Linked DNA regions of Rhinolophus ferrumequinum. The protein of the gene in region 1 interacts with the protein of each later gene in a pairwise test. Links are inferred from orthologs where the notes say so. Each region holds a gene or a part of one and is shown on either strand. Other genes may lie near its edges. The genes, in order: FLACC1 and SULT2B1.

What was found.
Region 2: the proteins of FLACC1 (region 1) and SULT2B1 interact in binary tests that used the Homo sapiens proteins (3 or more experiments, as listed by UniProt). The two-hybrid records come from large-scale screens. The link is inferred for Rhinolophus ferrumequinum from reciprocal best matches to the Homo sapiens genes FLACC1 and SULT2B1.

What each region holds. Positions count from the first base shown.
Region 1 is NC_046291.1:30,025,411-30,033,358, forward strand, and holds the start of FLACC1 (flagellum-associated coiled-coil domain-containing protein 1), read left to right. Parts: upstream 1-4,799; 5' UTR 4,800-5,314; intron 5,315-7,948.
Region 2 is NC_046298.1:44,070,442-44,077,672, forward strand, and holds the start of SULT2B1 (sulfotransferase 2B1), read left to right. Parts: upstream 1-4,120; 5' UTR 4,121-4,252; coding exon 4,253-4,323; intron 4,324-7,231. UniProt on the Homo sapiens protein: Sulfotransferase that utilizes 3'-phospho-5'-adenylyl sulfate (PAPS) as sulfonate donor to catalyze the sulfate conjugation. Responsible for the sulfation of cholesterol.

The DNA.
Region 1 (7,948 bases):
GCATGATGGAGAGAAGATGAGGGAGGGAGGTAATTATTTTATCTTTGAAAATGAGAGGCATATTACTTGACTTTTTGGTGCTTAATTTGCACATCTTTTGCTCCTTTGTACTGACTTAACTGAAAGGAATTTTCTGAAGAATTCTTAAAGAGTCTTGCTCCTATGGTTCCCACCGATGCACTTATTCTTCTCTCCTCCTGAGGTGCCTTTCAAGAACTATGTGCTCAAAAGGGCAGAAAAACAACATGCATGCTGTGGGAAGAATGTGTGAGTTTTCCATGCTTTTTGAGTCTTTTAATAAAACTTTTTAAAGTCAGTTTCTTAAAAACAGAAAGTGAAAGTATCCTTCCCCTCGCTCCCCTTCTCTCCGTCATGCCGAGTACAGCAGACCTTACACATACGTGTTCAAAAAGGATTCCCGCTGAATGTAAATGTCCCTGAATGTGGTAGGCATTGGCCGGAGAATTCCTGATGTTATATTGTTTCCAAAATATCCCAATTCGCTTCTTTTTTAAATAGTGTTTGAGTTTCTACTTCATAAAGTAATTCTGGGGTGCTTATTTTGGCCGATATCTTAAAGCTTTTTATTTATTCTCTTAAGAAAGTAATCTTCCTGTTGCCAGTTTCTAAGAGACATCAGGAAGTAGGAAAATACAGGGCTAGAGAGGAGTACAAAGTGTTAAATTGTCAGATTTATATCTGTTATTTAAATTAAGCTAGTACTCTGTCTAATTAGCATACTTTTCTGTAACGATGCTAAAATGACCACTTTAGAGGCCTGGCCAGGGCGTATTCATAGCCAAATAAACCCATCTGATTAAAGAGAAGCAGACTTAGGTTTTTGAAAATTAGATTTATGTTGCTGTTCCACCGGAAGCAGAATTGGATACTGGTGCACGCTTTTCTCTAGAAATGAATCCTGTTTTGAATTGGGTTTTGCTGGTTTTTGAAGTTTCCACCTAAAATCATTTTTGATACAGCCTGAGAATCTTTATTATAACAAACTTGTGTGCAAACTATAGTCAGAAGAACTGGAGCCTTGTAGTAAGTTCCTCCTCCTTTTACCTGTTATGCTTTAACACTATTCACATTGTAGTTTTTCTATATCAACTGTATACGTATTTTTATGCGAGTATAGGAAACTCCAATCTTTTTCTCCTTCAAAGTTTTCAGTGATTATACCTCAGGTATTTCTGAGTATCCTATTATATAATAGGAAGGATACCTTTGTAAGCTCAGAATTAAAGGTACTCCTGAATTATGATGATCCCAAATCTTATGTAAATAACCTTAGGCATGTGTCTTAGGGAGAAGTTAATAACGATTGTTAAAGTAGTTTTTAAAAAAGGATTTGTACTCTATGTCCTTTGTTTGACATGAATGAACAGACTTTGGCAAAGAAAGGAAATAAGTTAGAGACAGCTCCCAAGAGCATTTTCCAGGGTGTATTTTATACAGTATTCAAAACCTGTTACTTTTTCTGACCATTCTAGTACATAATTTGTACTACTTGTTGGTTACTAACATTGAGTTTTGACATCTGGAACTAGAGCTCTGAGTGTCTAATGGTCTGCTCCTTTGATGTCAGATGCCTGCAGGCTTGTACTCCAAGTGCCACAGACTGTGTCTACAACTGAGCGCTTGCGTTGCAGAGCACAGCTACCCTGTGGGGCAGCCAAGGAAATCCTGTTTGATATCTGCGGTTGATTTTGTCAAACAGCTCTTTGTTGCACCTACCTTTGCTTTGTCAAATGTAAATCAGATAATAAATATGAGTATCTTCTTAAATTTTCATTTGTCTTCCTGTGTATTTGTCCCAGTTCTTTTCATAAATAGTCCTGCATTAAGTCTTTCCATTTTATTTTGTCGTCTTGGGTACAGAAAACAACCTATATTTGTCAAACCAACCCAAAACAAACCCAGCAGTAGTGGTACGTAGTAGATCTTATTGTATTTCTTAGATATTTGTTTAAAACACAGAATAGACAGAGTATCTATATATGCCGTATTTCTTCCTTAGCAAAGTAACAGCAACAAAAAGTAAAATCTGAAGTCACTGATATGCAGATGTTTAATTTGAAAGTATTTAGGAAATGTGAAGCAATTCTTCATTCTTACAGTCCACAATATACTGTTGATATTGTTAGCTATTTAGAAACTGTTTCCAAGAAACTAAATTTAAAAATTGTTGGACTCTGGTAGAGAAAGTTATTTGATATTCTCATCTTCATCACAGTTTAGTTGCTGTGTTTTTTAAATTCATCTAATATCCATTTAGAATTATAAATATTTTGTGAGGAATAGGTGAAGTGTGAGTATGTACTTGTTTGATATGAAATTTAATGGTATTTCCAGCATTTTGAATTGTTTCTTTCACAAACCATTACAGTAGATGTGTTTAAGTCCAAAAACCAGACGAGAGGAAAGATTTGATGCTTTCAGCATCCTATTAATTTCCATCTCTGTTTTTATTAAGTTTGAGTTATACTAGTATCAAGCTTTGATTTTCATTAGTGTTTTTTTGTTTTTGTTTTTGAAATAAAGGCCAAATAAGGGCCATAAAATTTTCAAATGAACAAATGTTGCCGTGCAGGTTTGACAAAGATGTTGAAATATAACTTGGCCTGGCAGGCAGTGTTGCCAACAATAGCATGAAGTGTTTTGTTCTTCAGTGTGAGAAAGTATGAGGAAAGCACACCGAAGGTGATGTGAGATGTTAGGGAAAAATACAGAAGAGCCAATATATAAAAATCAAAGGATTATTTCATTAAATGTATTTTTCTTGCCTTCTCGGCAAAATCACTAATATTGGTAGCATCAGTCCCTTTCCTGGGTCTTTGGAAAGAGCCTTTCATGCAATGCCCAAGTTCCCCTAAATTCAACCAAAGAGAAGAGCAGTTAACTCTTAGTCCCAGAAGCCTTCATTTCCTTCCCCTCCACCATTTTGGAGCTGACAAAGTTGTACTAATGTTTAGACAGAGGAAAGGAAGAAAAACATCCCAAAGTAGTGGTAATTCGTGTTAAACCTTGGCCAAGTCAACTGGCTCCTTCCTTTGTATCTTTGGTTTTAACCACTCTACACACAAGACCCAAATCCTGCTCTTTTTAAATCATAAGGAAGCATTTTAATATAAAATTTCACACAATAAACAGATTCAGAGAAAATATCCAATCGCTAGTGGATGACTACTCAAATCTATCCATTGTTCTCTTTAAACCTTTTTTCCCTCCCTTTTAGCTTTTGAAGTCTGTCTCCATCTAGCGTGCTAATGGTACTTGTGGTTGTGGCAGCCATAGTGCAACCACTAGGCTCCCCTCAGGCGACACACAGGCTGGCATGACAGAATCACTTAAAGAACCCAGCTCTCCAATGACATTGCTGAAACTGCATTAACTGGTAGCACCACCTCCATGTTTTATATTTCATGAAATTAAGGAACCTCTTTGGTTTAAGGACTTTCATTCAAGTGATAGTTGTACATATTTTAACTTACACATTGAGAAATACTGTCGTAAATATTGGGCTTCTCCGGGCTCTGTTGTAGACACCTCTTCTTACATAACACTCTTTCCCGGTGTGAGCTCATCCCTTAGCTTTAAATATTATCTACTCGGAGACTCCTAAAGTGTTTTCAGCCCAGACTCCTTTGAATTCCCAAAACATGTAATAAACTCTGTAATAGACATCACATTTCAATGTCTCCCTGGCATCTCAAACTCAACATATCCAAGCCTGAAGTCAGAATCTGCTCCCCTGGGCCTTTTTATCCCGCAGACTTTCCCATCTCAATAAATGGCACCGCCATCTACTCAAATGCTTGAGCTAGAAACCCAGGACTCATCATTGCCTCCTTTCCCTCAACCTGGGATCCAATCAGTCAAGTCCTGTTGCATCCTCTGCTCTCCATCCCACTGCTGTTCCCTCAGTTGAGGCCACAATTGTGTCTCCTTTGACCCCTGCCGTAGACTCCTAACTGGTTTCCCTGCCTCTTGTCTCGGCCCCTCCAGTGTTTCTCTACATTGCAGTCAAAATGATTTCTCTAGCATGCAGAGCTAGTCAGGTTCCTTCTCTGATTAAAGCTGTTGTCTGACTCATCAGACTAGAAGAGACTCCCTGCTGTACACTCACACGGCATCCGCTAAGTTTCATTGTGCTTTTACTGAATTTATTGTCTCCCCTCTATGGACCACAGGAATTGAGGTGCCTCACAAAAGTGCCTGGCACACAGTCGATAATAAATGTGGAGTAGAATGAATGCATACATTTATAACAATGGTTTGTAAACTATGGGTTGTGAACCATCAGTGGATAATGAAATCAATCTAGTGGATTTATAATCAGCTTTCATTTTAGGTGGAAGAAAAAGAATCAGATGAGAATTAGTAATAAGGGTATTATTTCATACAACTTTTTATTTCAAAATGTGTAAAATATACTTCTTATAGTGAGTTGCAATAAAATAAAAGGAAAGCCGCTGGTCTATAATAAGCAGGCATTTTTTTCTTTAATGAGAAAAAGTAGCTTTACTTGGGGGGGAAAAAATCTGATTTCCTGGCACCTGAAAAAGACTCCTGCCCTGGGGGATTTGTACTTCTACAGATTTCGAAGCTTGAAATTCAAGGAAGAAAGTGGCTACTTTAGAGTTTTAGGTGTCTGTGAGCAAACGTCAGAGGAGCTTAAATCCATCACAGATCCTGTCTGGTAACTGCTGCCATGGGCCAGTTAAGCCTAAGAGTGCTGTTTAATTTCCTCTGAAAGTATTCATCAGTGTATTTTGTCTCATGTCTTGGAGAATTTCTTAACTGGCTGCTGCTCCAGCCTTTTTTCTTTAAGAGCAGAGTGCCTGAGCAAGTCAGGTGCTGCCATTCTGTTTCCATAGCAATAAAAGAAACAAACGTCGGCCTGCCACCTCCTCTGGCCAAACCTCAAGGACAACTCAAGGCCCAAGTCAAGGGAATCTGAATGGAGGGGTGACTTTCTCCCCTAGTTTGACTTTCATTGCAATTTCGGAAGACTCAGACTGAATCGTCTTTAGAAGGGACATTTGCGCTCGTGCCAGTTCAACCTTTGTAAACGCCAGTGCCTGGATTCACTGGAAGTCTGTCTCTCTGCACTACACATACTCTGCATTTTTCTGCTTTGGCATTGGAATGACCACTAAACTCTTGAGTTCTGGAACCTCTGGATTTAACCTACAATGAATTCTGATTCTGTCTCGATGGGAAACAGTTTCTCTATAACATTGTGGTGTCTTTAAGACTCTCGACTTGGGAAAGAACCACATGGGAGAAACAAATCTTTGGACAGTCCAAGGTAAGCTCTTTGGAAAAGATGTTCTATATAATTTTTTTTCTTTTGATTATTAATACTAACCAGTGACCTTTCTGAAGGCTCCGCTGCCTGGTGTCACAAGGTGGCACATTCAGTCCACTGAGCCTCGGGCAAAGTCATTAGGGAGCGATGCAGGAACGGCAAAGAATGGGGAGAAAGAATCCTAAATCACACACGCATGTGCACACGCGTGCACGTACATACACACACACACACACACTTCTGTATGCTTAGAGTCATGCAATGCAACATCAAGCCACTGTGAATGCAGTAGATGTGTCTATGCTGATGTAGAAATACCTACTAAATATCCTGTTATGTAAAAAGAGCAAGGCATGGCATGGTGTGTAAAGTATGCTCTCATGTATGTATATATCTTGTATATACATACAAGATGTATATAAAATCTTCATGTATATATATAGAGAGAACACTTCTGGAAGGATATCCCAAACAACTTAACAGTGGTTTCCTCTTGGGAGAGTACTGGAAATTGAGGGCTGATGTTTAGTTAGTATTATGCACAATTATTGAAATATTGAAATAGTACCATACTGGTTGTGTGTATACAAGTATACATTGTCCAAGCCCCTCACCTCCTCCTCTGGTACCCCCAGACTTCCTCATGATTCAGCAACTCAGGGGTTAATGCTGGCATGAGGGTAGGAGTGGGGTCCTCCAGTTCCCCTGATCCAGCCTTGTAGCCCATATATATTCTGATTGTCTTACTGGTTATTAAATATTTTGAGTATCACCTCCATGGGGGTTTGGAAGAAGAGGCCTTCACTTTTTAAGAGCAAAAGAATATATGCCACAGCATTGTTTATAACAGAAAGAAAGGAAAAAACAAAATGTTCATCAATACAAAACTGATTAAAATTGTAAACAGGTACATTCATTGAATAGAAATTTATAGCTATGATGATATAGGAGCAAATCTCAGACTTGCTTTAAAGATTTGCTTTAAGTATAACTTAAGTTACACATTTGCTTTAAATTTACTTTAAAATAATCTGATGTTGGAGGAGTGGGCTGGGTATAGATGAATGAGATTAGCCACAAATTGCTACCTGTTGAAGCTAGATGGTGGGTGAGCTCATTATACTCTTTTCTCTGCTTTTGTACATTTAAAAATTTTCTCCACAGTAAACTTAAGTTTAAAAACTGATGATTATATGTATAGTTACTGACATTAAAAGAAGCTCAGGACATTATTGAAAAAAGATTATCTACAATATAAGTAGAGTTTGTTTCTGTTTATGGACAGTTATATAAAACTGTTTCTTTAGAGAGAATTCTAGAAGACATTAACCAAAATATTTTCAGTGGTCATTTCTAGATGTTTAGTATTTTGGATAATTTTTACTTCCTTAGGTTTTTCTGTGCTATAATTTTCTTTACAATGATCCTATTTCAATTTAACACACACACATGAATAAACCTATTCTCCCCAAAAACTTAGAAATAAAAGCTTCTGTAAACAAAATACCATTGGGGTTCATAATATTCCTAACTCAGTTACCAGTTTTTGAGAACCTAATGTGTGCAAGACAGTATGCCAAGAGCTTTCCTGACATGGTCTCGTTTCATGTGCATGAAATGAGTTTAGCCCAATGAGGGGTAAACTCTCATGTTCCCATTTTCCAGATGAGGAAACTGAGACTCAGGAAAGTAACAGTAAATTTGTTGAGGTCACACAGCTGGTAAGCAGAGGAGCCTCTATGCAGTCATGCCCATCTGACCCAAAAGCCCAAGGGAAATTTTAGTAAAGAATATTGTACAGGAAAAAAAAAATAATATTGACATTCTGGCCCACTTTTCATTTTTTAATATATTCTTTTCTAATCCTTTTCTGTATAGGTACATATTTCTACATAATTGTATCCATTGCATACATACCATTTTATATCTTTTTTTATAAACATTTCTTCATGTTTCTACAGGTTTTAAAGTGGGCAGTTAAAAATCTATGTAAAACTCCATCGAGTGGTTGTGCCATAATTTACCTATGAATTTTGGTTTTTTAATTCTAACTTTTAATATTATCTATGATATTGTAGTGACCGTTACATTTTTGCAATTTCATCTGTGGATCTCTTTTCTCCTTGTTGAACTGGTTCCTGTGGTTACAGCCACCCACTTTATTAGTCAGGCAACAAATATTTATCAAATACTCATTGTAAACAAGTTGCCTTGCCAGGTTCTGGCAGGGGGTGGAGGGCACAGAGAATGACATGGTGAAGTCCAGGCCTTCAGGAATGGCACAGTCCGGATGGGCAGGCAAGAAATGTAAGAGGGAAGGCAGTTTCTGGGAGCTGGCCTGCCCTAGCTGATCACTTCCTGCCTCAGGGCCTCCTGCTAACTCCCCTGAGTTCTGGATTGGACCCTGTCTTCACTGGAAGCTGATACAAGATCCTAAGCAGAAGCAAAACTATCTTGCTATTGCTGCCGTCTCCTTTCAGATTCTCACCTGAATTCTAGCCCCTGTGGCATTGTCTTCTCACCTAGGATGTTCCACCCGATCTGCTTCCCTGAACTCATCTCCCTGAGATATCCTGACCAGGTCCCCAAACACGGGAGAACACAAACAGCTAGATATGGAGGCCCTGTCCTTAG
Region 2 (7,231 bases), on another chromosome or scaffold:
CCCACCCTTTCCCCAGGTCCGGGTATCTAGGTGTCCCAGTTTCGTCTTTGTCTGGGTCACAGGAATCCTGGCTCCTCCCCCCACCTCCCCCAGGACCCAGGAGTCTGAGCCCCCAGCTGCCTCCTCTCTCAGATCCAGGAATCCAGGTCCCCGGCCCCTCCTCCCTCAGACCCAGGAGTCCAGGCCCCCAGCCCCTCCTCCCTCAGACCCAGGAGTCCAGGCCCTAGGCCTGTCCTCTCTCAGAGGAGCACTCTGGGTCCCTTTCCACTCCATTCAGATTCTTCGTTCCAGACTCCAGGATTTAGGAGCCCTGCCCCCAGCCTCTGCCCTCTCGGGAACCCAGCCTCTAAGCAGCCAGAGCTGGCCCGTCCTCAGCAATCCCAGAATTCCTGGCAATTATTAGCTTTTAACGGAAAGGTCGGGCTCTAGAGGTGACAATGGCCCCGATTCTGTGGAAACATGACCTTGTGACCCAGTGACCTCCCATTGCCCATATCTGATCTCCAAGAGCAAAATAGCATACCTGGGGTTCCCTGGAGCCCGGTTGGGGGGTGCTGGAGAGAGGCCAAAGAATTGATATGAGGGGCCCAGGGCAGAGGGGTATGCTTGAGAGTTCTCCATCTCTGCTCTCTGCACTCAGCCTGGCCAGGGAGACCAATTCCTGCTCCCCTTTCACATTCAGCCCCTGAAGTTTGAGGTGCAAGTGGGACCCCCTCATGGTTAGTAGCACATACAGGCGATGTGTTCATCTTCCTGGGGGCTTCCTGGGGCACAGGGCAGCCCAGCCCCCATCCTTACCTGGCACTGTACCCTGCTACCCTTAAGCCCCCAAGGGTGGATGTGAGCCCCCACCCCAGGGCCCAAAAATAGCCCCCTATCTCCAGATGCGCCCCCTTTGGCCTGGAGGAAATACTGCCTTTCTGTCTCTCCAGCCTCTAGGCCTTTGCCTACACCAGGCCTTCCCAGAGGCTTTCTCCACTTAGGTCCTTCACCTGGTGAGTTTCCCCTTCTGGGGCATCCCTGCTGTGACCTCCCAAGGAGGCCCCATGTCTACAGGCAGGACACCAAGCAGACCCAGTCTAGCAAGGTCAAATCAACCAATACTTAGCCACGTGTGTCATCTTAAACTTTCCAGTAGCACATTTTTTTAAAAAAGTAAAGAGAAACAGGTGACACTAATTTTAGGAATATGTTTTATTTAATCCAATATGTCCAAATATCATAATTTCAATATGTAATCAATATAAAACTTACTCGTGAGATACTTTACATGTTTTATCTCAATTCTGACACTCGGGTCCCAAGAGTTAAATTGAAATGAAGTCTTACCAAACCATTAACATGCATTAAGAGTAAAGCATTTTACGGGCTGGCCGGATGGCTCAGTGGGTTAGAGCTCGAGCCCTGAACAACAGGGCTGCCAGTTCGATTCCTACATGGGCCAGTGAGCTGCACCCTCCACAACTAGATTGAAGACAATGAGCTGTAGCTGAGCTTCCAGACGGGCAGCTGGAGTGCGAGCCCGGTTGCCAGTTCAATTCCCGCATGGGATAATGGGTTGCACCCTCTGCAACTAAAGATTGAAAACAGCGACTGGACTTAGAGCTGAGCTACGCCCTCCATGGCTAGATTGAAGGATGACTTGGAGCTGATGGGCCCTGGAGAAACACACTGTTCCCAATATTCCCCAATACAATAAAATAAAAATTCTTTAAAAAAAGAGTAAAGTGTTTTATACTGTTTCTGATTTTAAAGTTAAATTGAAATTAAAAAAGTGAAATAAAATTGGAAACGTTCACTGCCTCGATCACATGCACCACATTTCTAATGCTAAATAGCCAGGTGTAGCCAGCGGCTCCTGTATCGGACAGCACAGTTCTAAACTGTGTTTACTTACCCATCTCATTTGGGGACACAGTAGATCCTGACCCAGAGGAAGTCTTCTCAGATAATAGTCAGAGGGAGGGATGGATAGAAGGAAAGAAAGATTGAAGGGAGGGAGTGAGGGAGGGAGGAAGGAAGGAAGGAAGGGAGGGAGAGATGATGAATAGATGGAAGGATGTGTGGATGGATGATGGATGGATGCATGACGGATGGATGGATGGATGACGGATGATAGAGGGATGGATGTATAATCGCTGCTCCTCCCACTACTCCCACCAGCTGGCACTGTTTCCCACTTTCTTCTTCCCATCCCCCTCCAAGTCTCTTCCCTGTTTCCCATATGCCTAAGTCCCCGGGTTTATTTCTGTGGAATCAGTGGTCCCCATCACTATCTCTCCTCTCTGTCATTGGATAAGATGCTACTCTGGTGTCTTCTGGGCCCCTTGCCCTCTGCAACCAGGCCTTGCATCTCCCCATCCCGGACCTCCATTTTCTGAAGAGATTTAACTGAGTCCTCCACGCACTGCAGTGACCCAGCCACTCATTCCCCATCACCCTGTGACGATTCGTTCATTCCACCGGCAGCATTCATTGAACATGTCCTGCTTTCTGGGGACTCCTCCGGGCACAGCCCTCAGGAGCCAACAGGGGACAAACATCATAAGGCCCGTCTTCATGGGGCTGACAATCTGACGAGGAGACAAACGGTCGACAAGACCAAGAAGGAAAATATGTAGAGTGTTGGATGGTGATGAGTGTTATGGACAAAAGGACAACAGGAGAGGGGGACGGAGACGTTGGTGGGAGGACTCAGAGGAGGGGTGACAGGGCAGGCTTGGATGAAGGGAGGCAGTGAAGCCCCCAGGTGCCTGGGGAAAAGCACATCGGACAAGCAACAGCAGGTGCAAAGGCCTGAGATGGGAGCGTTTTCTGGGTCCCTGGGTCCCCGTGTTTGGCTGGTCCCGCCCCAGTCAGACACAGCCTCCAGGCCCGCCTTGTCCCTTCAACACCCTCCTCTACACTCTTACGGGGTGTTCTGGTGTTCTATTTTTGCACTTATTCTTCCAACCAAATTTTCTCTGGCACAATATACTAGAAAAATGAGAAATTTTTAGAAAGAGTCCACCAAAATGTTGATGGTGGTTACCTCCGTGGGTAGGAGGATCACAGGGATCCTTATTTTAGTTCTAGACTTATCTGTTCAGATATATTTTTGAATAAAGTACACACATTCCTTTAAAAAGAAGTCACTTCTGGTGAGGAGATTGGGTTTTGTGGCCAGACTCCAGATCTCTGAGGGTCAGGACACCAGAGGGTTTGGGGGGATAGAGCTGAAGGGGACACTGGCTTTACTGAGCCTACCACTCGAGAAATGTCTCACCCAGTCGTCACAGCAGCCCGGTGACATGAATACCACTCACAGGTGGGGAAACCGAGGCACAGAGGGCTGATGGGACTGGCTCTAGGAGCCACAGCTGAAAGGTACTGGAGCAGAGATCAAACCAGGCGCTGTGACCTTCAAACTCCCATACCAACCATGTCTGGCGAGTATCTGTTGTATCTCTGGATCTCTCACTATCTCTGACCCCCTGTGTTTCCCTGTTTTTCCCTTGGCTTCTCGATGTCTCTGTCTTTGTGTCTCTGTCTCTCTGTGTCTCTCACTGTCTCTGACCCTGTCAAAGTGCCTCTGTCTCCCTATCTCTGATCCTCCGCATATCTCTGTCTCTGTGTGTCTCTGTTCTCTCTTGGTCTCGCCATGTTTCTCACTGTCTCAGTCTGGCTGTTTCTGTCTCTCTCAGTGTGTTTCTACGTGTGCCCCTTACAGTGTCAGCCCACGAGGGCAGTTTCTGTTTGTCTGGTTCCCACTTAGACCAGTGCATGGCAGACAGGAGGCGCTCGATAAATATTTCTTGAATGAATAAAGAAATGAATGAATGTGTGAATGAATGAATGAATGAATGAACGAATGAACGAACAAACAAACTCTCTGAGATAGGATTAGCTTCTTAGTCCGACGAACAAACTCAGGTGGGCGCGAACATGCCCAGAGCCAGCAGCCCGGAAGGCTCCAGTGCAGGATTGACGCTGAACCCCTGGACTCTGCCCCACGCATTCACAAGATGCCCAGGTCGTGCTCATCACCCCTCCTCCCCACCTTTGGAGAAGGGTGGCTCCCTCTCGGCCTCTCCCCGCTGTTGGAGGCGTGGGTAGCAGCTGGGAGAACCGGCTGAGTACTGCCCCTCCCCTTGGGCGTGGAGGTAGGCTCCTGGCGGGCTCCCCAGGTGGCAGACGCTGCTGCTGCACATACCTGGTCCCCGTGCTGCCTGCTCCCTGCGTGTCCTCCCCTCCCCACCCTCACCCACCTGCCATGGACGGGCCCGCTGAGCCCCGGACCCGGGCCCTGTGGGACACCTACGAGAACAACATCTCGGAAATCAGGTGAGGCCCAGATGTGGACACCGGCCGCGAGACTCCCCCAGAGCAGGTGGCCTGAGGGAAGAGCCAGGGGCCTCCGCAAAGCTGGCCCCTGGCCTCCTGCAGCCTCAGACACAGCCCAGACTTGGCTGGCTGGGCTGGGCTGGCTCGTCCACCCTGGAGTGCAGGTCCCTCCTGGAAGGGAGTAGGTGACTAGGGCTGTCCTGAGTCACTAGCTGGGATGCCTGGGGTGTCCATGTACCTCTTGGGGCCTCAGTTTCTCTGTCTATCAAAGGGGCCCATAAATCATTTGTCTCCCTGATGTAGGACTGGATGAGAGCAGGAGGCTTGGCGTGTAGTAGTTGTTCAGGAAACAAGAAGGATGTTGTACTTTTTTCCTCCTTGAGACTTCTGGCTGGCACAGTGCCCCTCTCCTCAAAGCCCTCAAATGGGGGTGCTTTCCCTCACAGGGGCTCAGAATGTGCCACCAGCAACATTTGAGGGAGGATGGGAGAGCATAGATGGGTGGGGTGCAGGATGTAGCTGAGTTCCAAAGCCGGAGGCTGTGCCCCAGGGGGCAGGGGGCCAGGAGACTGGGCCCCGACTCCTTGGTTCTCAGGAGAGGTTAGGACGGAGCACTTCCTATCTCTTGAGCGTGACTCCTTTGTTCCTGAGGATATCAGACACTTCTATAGTACCCACTTTCCAGATGGGGAAACTGAGGCCAAGGGGCAAAGTGACCATGATCATGCAGTCAGATGCCAATTTGACCGCAGTCTGTCTGATTCCCAGAGTCTGTGGTTTCTCATCTCCTCAACAGTATAGGTGATACCCACTCCTCATGGCTTCATTTTACAAACGAGCATGAGGAGGCTCAGAGAGGGCAGGCAGCCTGCCCAAGATCACACAGCAAGGCTGTACTGTTTCAGACCCTCCCCTCCGCTTCCTCACCCAGGAGCTGGGACACGGAGAGGCTTCCCTAGTGGCCCAGACTCCAGAGACTGGAACAGCTGAATTCTGATTGCTGTGTGACATGGACAAGTCTCGCAGTGTCTCTGGGCCTCTTAGGTTCAGAGTGGCCACCACTCTGGCTGGTCCCAGCTCTTCTTGAGGAAGGTACCAGCATTCTCTTCTCCAGCTCCTCTGGGTTCTGCAGTTTCTTTGGCTCCCCACCTCTAGGAAGGTTTCAGCCTCGGTTTCCTCACCTGAAAAATGGAGGTAAATAACCCTTACCTATAAGATACTTCTAGACCTGAGTGGTTGCAGCCCGCTGGGTGGTGGCCTTAGGACCTTAAACTTTCTTTTCCATGAGCTCCTGGAATCCCTGCCTCTCATGAGGGTCCTTAACATCCCTTCTGGGGCTCCCTCCCTAGCCCCTCAGACACACATCCTCACTGAACTCAGCGGCTCCCCCAGAATGACTCCTCCTCCTGGGCCGCCATCTCAGTCACCAGGTCAGATTCCCAGGCACTGTGCTTTCCTTACTCTCCCTCCTACAGCCTGTCCCTCCCCAGCCCCACTCTCCTATGACCCGACTATCTCCATTCCCGTGGCCCCTGCTCAGGCCTCATCTTTGCCCCTAGAGCCTTGCCCTAACCTTTCCGCCTCCGGTCCTTCCCAGAGCTGCCCCTCCCCTCTTCCCAGTCCCAAGGTGTCTCCAGGCCCTGGCAGTCTGGGCTCCCAGCTCAATCTCCCTGCTCGCCTGCATTCCATCTACCCCATGACTTCAAATTCCCTGGCCACACCTCACTATTCCCTGCCCCAGTGCCTTTGCATATTCAGTTCCCTCTGCAGGGATTCCCAGAGAAATCTTTTCTAATATGCAAATCTACCCCTGGCCATCCCCAGCTCAAGGCCCTTCCAGGGCTCCTCAGCACCCACGGCAATGGTTTCCAAACCTTTTCTGAGGCACTGGTACCTTTGTCCAAGAGAATTCTTACTCCCAAGCAGAACTACATCATAGAGATCAAAATGGAGCTGTTCTGGTTTAAAATGGGGCGTAGGGACTGCGGTCCCCCTATTGGCCCTGCTCCTCCTGTGGGCTTGCTGCTCTGCTCCCACCCTCCTCACTGCCTGGGCCCCAGCTGGCTGCTTCCACAGCCCTTCCAGCCTGAATCACACACCTTCAGGCTTTTGTGCCTGAAGTTTCCTTCACCTGGGAAGACCTCACTCCTTTGTGTGGCAAACTCCTTCTCACACATTTTAAGATTATTGGGCACCACAGGTAGGTACCGTGATCACACTTCTAGCTTCAAACCTGTCCCGTGACACCCAGATGCCGACCTGTTCACAGATAGGGACAGCGTGGGGACCACCTCTGCAGTCCTCGGCTCAGGGCGGGGATGGACAATGATGTCTCTGAGAATGATGTCAAGGAATGAATGGGAGTGAGATAAGGCAACCTTTGAGCTAGAGCTTGCAGAAAGATTAGTCAGGATGACAAAACAGGTGAGGAAGGGCAGGGCACACAGGAGGGGCAAAAGGACAGTGGCTCTTGGGAGGAAATGAGAGGCTGTGTGGATCTGAGGGCACCAAATAAGCAGTGGAAAATTCCTGTGGGGACCATTATTACACAACAGTGACATGAGTGACTCTTAAGGTCAAATGTAAGAAGCAATTCTTAGACACTATCCTCCCCCAATAAGAAAAGCTAAGCCATATATTGTTTTGAGGGTACAAGCCTATGTGATAAAACTGTCCCCCCCCAAAACAAGCAACTGACAAGGATTTAATTCGGGAAAGTGGTTGTGGAGAGGAGGTCCAGGAGATGAGGAGGAGCCCAGAGACATCCGCAAGACACATTGCACAGAATGTTCTAGTGCATGGGGTTTATCAATTATGCTTTATAAATTTTATATGTGTTCCATATACATATAAATGTATATACATGTCTGTATATACATGTATGCATGTATGTATATACATGTATGCA